Sus scrofa: one gene and its partner. The protein of the gene in region 2 binds, or shares a complex with, the protein of the main gene of each other region. Links are inferred from orthologs where the notes say so. Each region holds a gene or a part of one and is shown on either strand. Other genes may lie near its edges.

Region 1 (3,824 bases), on a different chromosome or scaffold from region 2:
TTCCCATTTCACAGAAGAGGAAAATGAGGTTGATGAAGTTTAAATAACACGCCAAAGTCACACTGCTGGTCAGTGGAAAAACTGGGACACGGATTCAGGTCTTATGACTCTGAGCGTAGACTCTAAGGCAATGCCAGCTCCATGACTAGTAGGGGATGGCGGGCAAGTTTGAGATGAAAGATGGTAGGCTGGGAGACACATCTTGAAGTTTCCTTTGCAGAGCAAGCACACTGATTTACTTTAGAAACTATTTTTTAATGACTGCTAGAAAATGTATAATCAAATTGATGCACCTGTCAAAGTATAAGCCTTTCTGTTATGAATTTTCATATTACTCTCATTCCATTAATTCTTGACCCTTATTTTCAAATTGTGTCTCATCTATTTCTGTTAAGTTGCTTAAATTAACGAATACATATAAACTACCTGAAATCTTTTTTAAAACAAGAGAGGGCACTGATTAATGGTAAATAATTATATGGGAAAACATTCAACTTCAATAGTAATAAAAAATATTAATAAAAAAACAATTAGGGAGGAGTTCCCATTGTGGTGCAGTGGAAACAAATCTGATTAGTATCCATGAGCATGTGGGTTTGATCCCCGATCCCTGGCCTTGCTCAATGGGTCAGGGATTCAGCGTTGCCATGAGCTGTAGTGTAGGTCACAGACATGGCTCGGATCCCGTGTTGCTGTGGCTGTGGCGTAGGCTGGCAGCTGTAGCTCTGATTCAAACCCTTGCCTGGGAACTTCTGTATGCTGTGGGTGTGGCCCTAAAATAAAAAAATAAAAAAATAAATTAGGGAAATTCCCTTGTGGCATAGCCGTTAAGGATCCAGTATTGTCACTGCAGTGGCCTAGGTTGCTGCAGTAGCATGGGTTCAATCTTTGGCCCAGGAGTTTCTATATGCCACGAAAGTGGCCGAAAAAAATTAGGCATAAGTTTTTTACCCAGTAAAGTCTTTTTGGGTTTTTTTTGGCCATGCTCCCTGCATGTGGAAGTCCTTGGGCCAGGGATGGAACCTGCACCACAGCAGTGACCTCAGCCACTGCAATGACAATGCTGGAGCCTTGACTTGCTGCCATATGAGGAAACTCCCTTACAAAGTCTTTTTTTAGTCCTTTTTTTTAAAATGAAAATGCCCAGTGTTAACAGGACAGAGATTAAACTACTATACATATGCACTGCTGGTGGTACAATGTATAAATTGATACAATCCTTTAGAAAAGCAATTTGGCTTTATGTAAACAAAACCACAAATATTCAAACCATTTAAGCTCAGAAATCTCCCTGGGAGTTATATGCACTCCTTCTTCCAAATATAGGATTCTTCAAATCTAAAATATGATAAAATATGTATAATACTACTTATAATAGTAAATACATCAGAAGGAAACTGTCCAATAAGAGAATGAAACCAGAGCACCCCACTAGGGACGACATTTCATTATGGAACGTCTATACTCTGATTTTCAAATCACATGGATTATTGGTCAAGGAATTAAATTAATTAATTTTTAAAAAGAAAGTAATTGTATAGTATACTTACAACTATAGTCATTATATACTATGTAGACTACAGTATATGTATATGTAAGTATACTATATTATATACCATGAAGAGTATAGTATACTTACAACTACTAAACAATATGTACAAGTTTTAAAATGAGACAAAAATACTCCAAAATATCCTTAGAAGTATGATTCTGTGACTTTTTCATTTTATATTTTCCAATTTTTGGTAATGTGACAATATGATACATAGAATTTTCTAACTATTTAAAATGTTAGCTTAAAATTATTAAGGAAAAATTCATAGGTTTGCAATAAATGACCTTTAAGTCCCTAAACTTTGAAATTTTATGAGGCTATGAATAATTCTAGGGTGGAAAAAAAGGAGAGAAAAGAATTGAAGGAATCAATGTAGCTGCAAAGAAAATCTACTGAGTTTTTATGAAAAATAATAAATGCAATGTTTATAAAGAGGGAACCATAACCAAGGATAAACATATGCTATTAATCTGAACAAGGTAAAATGCTAATATCCCTTCAAACTTACCCAAATGTCATCTTACTAATAACCCAGTAACATAAGCAAAAAATGTTTAAGCTGCTAAAAGAAAAACTTTGGATGGAAATAAAGAATTACATCAGAAAAGGAACTTCACATTTTCAATGTATTTAATTTTCAGAGCATTCTCATAAGGTATTACACTTGATTCTGAGAGTAATTTGACTTGAAGGCTTACCTCCCTTCAGAGCTCCGCAAAAAGAATAATCACCACCATATTCTCGGCAAATAACTTCTTTGCGCATTGGTAAAGTCATGGACTTAATAGATATATGGAGGTTGAGATATAATTTTTGTATGTCTCTTCCTTTAAAAGAAAAAAATTTTATTAGCTCTACAAACAAGATACTCTTTTATAAATAACCAGTAACATTTAGTGTATACTTAAAATATGCCCTGTGCTTTTCCTATGTTAATTCATTTAATCATCACAACTACCTTTAATTGAGGATATTGTTATTCTTGTTTTGCAGATGAGAAAACTGAAGTTCTGAGAGGGCTTGCTGGTTGATTGCAATCAAATAGCAGATTCTGGAGTTCCCATTGTGGCTCAGTGGTTAACAATTCCGACGAGCAATCATGAGGGTTCGATCCCTGGCCTTGCTCAGTGGGTTAAGGATCCGGTGTTGCCTTCAGCTGTGGTGTAGGTTGCAGACGTGGCTTGGATCCTGCATTGCTGTAGCTCTGGTGAAGGCCGGTGGCTACAGCTCTGATTAGACCTCTAGCCTGGGAACCTCCATCTATAGGTGCGGCCCTAGAAAAGACAAAAATAAAATAAAATAAAATAAAATAAAATAAAATAAAATAAAATAAAATAAAATAAAGTAAAGTAAAGTAAAATAAAATAAAATAAAATAAAATAAAATAAAATAAAATAAAATAAAATAGTAAAATAAAATAAATAGCAGGTTCCACAGTGAGAATTATGAGTGCTACGCCTAAAATACAGGAACCTGTATTTTTGTGAAAACTATCAAGTGAAGATGTGAAGTGTAGTGTCAGTTCCACTAGGAAATTCAAAAGAAAGGGAAGGGAAAGGAAGTGATGATAACCAACTCATGCCCACTTTTTATAGTTTTGATGAATGATGTCTTAGAGAATGACATTGAACCCTTCGACTAAAAATAAAGTAAATGAACTATTTATTATTTCCTCATGATCTCCCTATTATCAGTGAACATGGAAAATACCAGGAAGAAATGCATTTTGCTCAACTCTTTTAAGTAATTCTGTTGGCCCAGCTGGAAAAGACACATGATCTTTTTTATAATGAAAACAATTATTGTAACTACTAATTTACAGAAACTGTTTTCCTAATATGATCACTAAGACTCTCTGTAGCCATAATAAAAAGAAAAAAAAATGTTTTTCCATGTTTCCCTTGAACTTGGCTATACTTAACAAAACTGCTACTCCTTCCTCAAAATCCTGTCCTTCCTTTGGTATCGGTGTACCACTAAAGAAAGAAAGAAAGAAAAAGAAGAATCTGAAAGAGAATGGACATATGTCCATGTATAACTGAATCACTTTGTGGTACAGCAGAAATTATCACAAACTTGTAAATCAATTATACTTCGATAAAATTTAAATTGAAAAATTATAAGCAGCAAAAAAAGACTGTGATGTTACATAGCAGCAGAAAACGAATATGCATACATTTAGAACACCATCATTTATCATGGAGATTTCTGTAACCCTTTTAATTGATCTACAAAAACAAAACTTTGGACTTACGTGCAATGTAGTAAA
Region 2 (4,362 bases):
CAGCTTGATTTTAGATGTGTTGGATTTGAGGTCCTTGATGGATATCTTGGTGGAACTATTTAGGACACAATACCAGCAATGGCACCATTTTAAACTATGTTCCTATTTAACAGAAACTTACATTGTGCTTTCTACACTCTAAACATAATCTGTCCTAAAAGCTTTACAAATGCCACCTTATTTAATCCCATAACAATAATTTGAGGTACATATTAGCACCCTCATTTTATTCATATTTTTAATCATCTTAATAGCCTCCAATTTGAGGAATATCCTGATGAACCATGCAGTAGAACAGGCATTTTATGTAAATCAGCTTAATTCAGTCACACAATATGAATGTGATTATATCCATTTTAAAGACCAGAAAACGAATGCTTTCGTGGCTTGCATCATTTGACTACTATCACATGGTTTTATTGTTATAAACTTTATAAAGGTGAATTTCTGTTGTGCTTAAAACTATTATCCCATTTTACAGACCAGAAATTGTCTCAGTCGTTTAAGAGACTTGACCAATGCTACAAGGCCATAAACCACCCAGCCAGGATTTGAATTTCAGTATATTTGATTCTTCATCCCAATCTTTTCCCAATATTCTTGTACTTTTCAAACGGTGTTTCCCTGGAGCCCTATTTTCAATGTTTCATAAATGTGGGCTTCTTCACAAGATTTCATAAAATTGGACAGTGCTATGAGTGAATCGCATCCTCTGCCAAAATTCATGTGCTGGAGTCTTTATTCTGGTACTGCAGACTGTGACTGTATTTTGAGAGTGGGTCTTTACAACAGTAATTAAGGTAAAAGGAGGTCACTACATCATATGGGTGGATCCTAATCCAGTATGACTGCAGTCCTTATAAGAAGAGGAAATTAGAACAGAGACACACAAGAGGAAAGAACTTTGGCACAAGAAGGAAGAGATAGCCATCTACAAGCCAAGGAGAGAAGCAGTTAACCCTGCTGACACCTTGACTACAGACTTCCAGCCTCTGGAACTTTGTGAGGAAATCAACGTCTGCTGTTTAAGCCACCTAGTCTGTGGTATTTTGTTATGGCAACCCTAGCAAACTAACACAGACAGTAAATTTCCACTAGTAAAACAAAAGTGGAAAGCCACCGTCCCAGGCAGTTAGTCACACAGGCTGTTTGACCAGTCTGACTGTTTTCCTAAACTCAACAACACTGAGGTCAGATGACTTCCTGGGATAAAAGCCAGCTTCCTCTTGCTATTACTCCAGCTCCGGTCTACAGGTTTTCTTCTTCTTCTTCTAACTTCCCCTCTGGTGACAGAGGAGATAAATATTAGAGAAACAAAAGTCCAGAATGCGAAGGCTGCCATTCTCACTTCCTCTTACCCCTTAACCCAGTGCTGCTTTGAATAGAGTCAGTGCCCCCGGGCAGTGTGCTGAGGAGAGAAGACGGCAGTGCCTGGGAGGCTGCTCTGACCAGCAGATACAGAGGGTCATGCTTTCTCCGGGTCACTTCTGTTCACGGAAAATGCCAGGATGATTCCTCGCATCCGCCTGGCTGTGGCCACGATCCCAGCCATGGCCTTTCTCTCCTGCCTGAGATCTGAGAGCTGGGACCCTTGCGTGCAGGTATGTGGTAGGAGTCTGCTCAGCTTCCCCTGAGCTTTGCCTTGCTTCTGAAAAACTGCTCTCTGCCTAGAGCTTCCCTTGGTGAGCCCTGGTTAGTTTCATTAGCAAACAGAAGTCAAATTACCTTAAAGACTTAAGAGACCAAAGGGACCAAAAAATTCATGGTAAGAGCGCACTAATAGGCAGCCCATGGGGTTTTGTCCCACCTAGGACTTAAAGGGCTAATGGGACGTTAGGTCAGATAGACCTGTTTAAAATCACTGCCTTTCCAATTCTGGGCTGTGTGACCTTGAAGAAGTTACCCAACCTCTCTTAGACTAGTTTTCACATCCATAAAAGAATTATAGGCTTCAGTACAGAGTTGCAAGAAGCCTGCTTCCTGTCATTCCTTTCTGTTGGTGGTTTGCATACTCTGCTTTGAGCTGTTTTATTTGCCCCTTTCAATCTCAGGAAGATATTTTTAGTCTCTTAATAGAAATTTCTAAGCAGATTTCCAACTTCTGGTCATAGTTCTGTCCAAACGATAAAAAGACAGAAGTTAGAAAAGGAGAGACAGAGAAAGAGAGAGAGAAAGGAATGAAGAAAGAAGGAAAAAAGAGACAAGTTATAAAATATCAGCTAATGTAATGCTTGCTTTCTTTGTGAAACATCAATCAGTTGGTTCATAATCTCATTACTGATGGATTTTGTTTGTTCTTCCACTGCATGGACTTTACAATTGCTTTGGAAGCCCATGGCAGACCCAAACAGCCACAAGAATGTCCTGGATTTAGGATGTGGCAGGGTCAGAAACTCAAGAAAAGCATAACCTGCCAGAGTCCTGGCACTGGGGACATGGAAGAAACAATATACTTTGATATGTAACAAAGACAAATCTGTTATCTGCAAGTCCTCTGTTTCCCCAATTCCCTTCTCACTGTCCTCCTCTCTGTGTCTTTCCTGCTGTTAGGTTAGTAGGTATAGATCCTCCAATCATGCTCCCCCCAGGATAAAACCAAGGGGGGGAGGGGGGTGGCAGTGGGGACCATGTGGCTCCTCCTTCTCCCATGCTCCCAATACTCTCCATTTCCAAAGCTTGCCCAACCCTTCTCTTCCCTCCAGGATCACTCTGGGGCAGATCCTCAGTTCCCTTGGCCTTGACTCTTGGACAGGGACTAGTCTCATGTCCCATTGTCCCTGTCATTTAATCTAACCTGTACATTTTTGTTGTTTGTTTGTTGCAGTTTTTCCTGAGGTTCAGTTCTAACAAATTACCATCCTTAAAAACTTGCACTAACTCTCCATTGCTATCAGGACCTTTTCCTGCCATGGGGCCTTTGCCGTGGCTATTTCCTCTAGCTAGAATGCCTTCCCCGTAGATCTGTGGTGCTCAGTGGTAATATCATAGGGTCATGTGACATTATTTAAATAATAAATTTAAGTAACTAAATTTAATTAAATTTTTATTCAACTAAGTTAACTTTTTAAACTAAATTTAAAATGTAGTTTTACATTTTCTAGTAGCTACATGAAAATATAAAAAGAAGAAAGTGAAATTAATTTTAATAATATTTTTGTTTAACTCAGTACATTCAAAATATTATTTCAAAATGCAATGTATACTAAAGCATTAATAATATATTTTACATTCCTTCTTTGGTTTTAAGTCTTTAAAATTTAGTATATATTTTACATTTGCAATATATCTCAGTTTAAACTATCCATATTTCTTATGCTCATTATGGTCAGTATGTCCCTATTGGACAGTACAGCCCTAGATATTTTTATGACTTAATCCCTCATTTCATCCAGATTTCTGCTTATATGTCACCTCCTTCAATAAGTCTTCCTTGATTGCTTCACATAGAGCACCTCACCCCCCATATTTGCCACTAGTTTCCTATGCTGCTTTATTTTGATAGCACATTTTTGTAGCACATACACATATAGGTGTATATTTATATTTTATATATATATAAAACATGTATTACCTATGTTTTATATATATATATAAATATATATTTTATTTGTCTATTGCTTGTATTTTCCTTGAAATGGAATCTATAAGAGGTCAAGATAATTTCTGGTTTTAGTTATGACTCTATCCCAGTGCATCTCACATTATAGTTGCTCATTTAAATGTGATTGAAAGCATTGCCACAGAACAAAGTACGAGGCCTCCTATCTGGCCCTCCCCTCTGGTTGAGGTTTTGCCACTCCTGCCACACAACGTTAATCTGAGCTAGTTTTTCACCCCTCTGTACTTGCTGTGCCCTCTTCCTTCCTCTCCTTCCTTTCCATGTATCCAAATCTCATCCTTCCAGACCCACCTTGAAATTTTCTCTTTCTTGGAAGCCTTCTACAGTCTATAATCTCTGGATCCAGTATTGATCTCCACTTTTTAATGAACTAAGGAGAAAATGTTCTAAGTCTGGTTTCATCCCCTTTTCAGGAGTCTAACTTGTGCTTTTCTTTTAACTCTCTCAGTTGTGAGCTCATTGAAGTCTAGAGCCATATCCCATTGGTCTTTGTGTTGTCTATAGCACTTAGCAGAAAATGCCTTCAACTGGGTTTTGAATAAACATCTATTTAAGCAGTTATCCATTCATTTATTCAACAAATATTTATAGATCATTAACTATTTCCCAGGCACCTTCTGACTGCTGCAGACATAGCAGAGAGCTAGACTTTCAAAGCTTGCAGTCTAGTGAGGAAAATGAATAGTATATATGGAACATATGTTCATAATATTACATAGTGATTCGTCCTGTGAGGGAGGATA

The links.
Region 1: the proteins of TLR4 (region 2) and LY96 are in contact, whole or in part, in a crystal structure (PDB 4G8A), measured with the Homo sapiens proteins. The link is inferred for Sus scrofa from reciprocal best matches to the Homo sapiens genes TLR4 and LY96. Residues at the interface, in NP_612564.1 of Homo sapiens: Gln39, Met41, Glu42, Asp60, Ser62, Phe63, Asp84, Ser86, Arg87, Thr110, Gly111, Val132, Val134, Glu135, Asn156, His159, Ser183, Ser184, Asp209, Leu212, Arg234, Val259, Glu262, Phe263, Arg264, Asn265, Glu266, Arg289, Ala291, Tyr292; in NP_056179.4 of Homo sapiens: Met40, Tyr42, Ile66, Pro67, Arg68, Arg96, Ser98, Asp99, Asp100, Asp101, Tyr102, Ser103, Phe104, Arg106, Leu108, Lys109, Gly110, Glu111, Thr112, Thr115, Thr116, Ile117.

What each region holds. Positions count from the first base shown.
Region 1 is NC_010446.5:61,937,081-61,940,904, forward strand, and holds part of LY96 (lymphocyte antigen 96), read right to left. Parts: coding exon 3,810-3,824; intron 2,383-3,809; coding exon 2,254-2,382; intron 1-2,253. UniProt on the Homo sapiens protein: Binds bacterial lipopolysaccharide (LPS). Cooperates with TLR4 in the innate immune response to bacterial lipopolysaccharide (LPS), and with TLR2 in the response to cell wall components from Gram-positive and Gram-negative bacteria.
Region 2 is NC_010443.5:258,043,350-258,047,711, forward strand, and holds the start of TLR4 (toll-like receptor 4 isoform 1 precursor), read left to right. Parts: upstream 1-1,260; 5' UTR 1,261-1,508; coding exon 1,509-1,601; intron 1,602-4,362.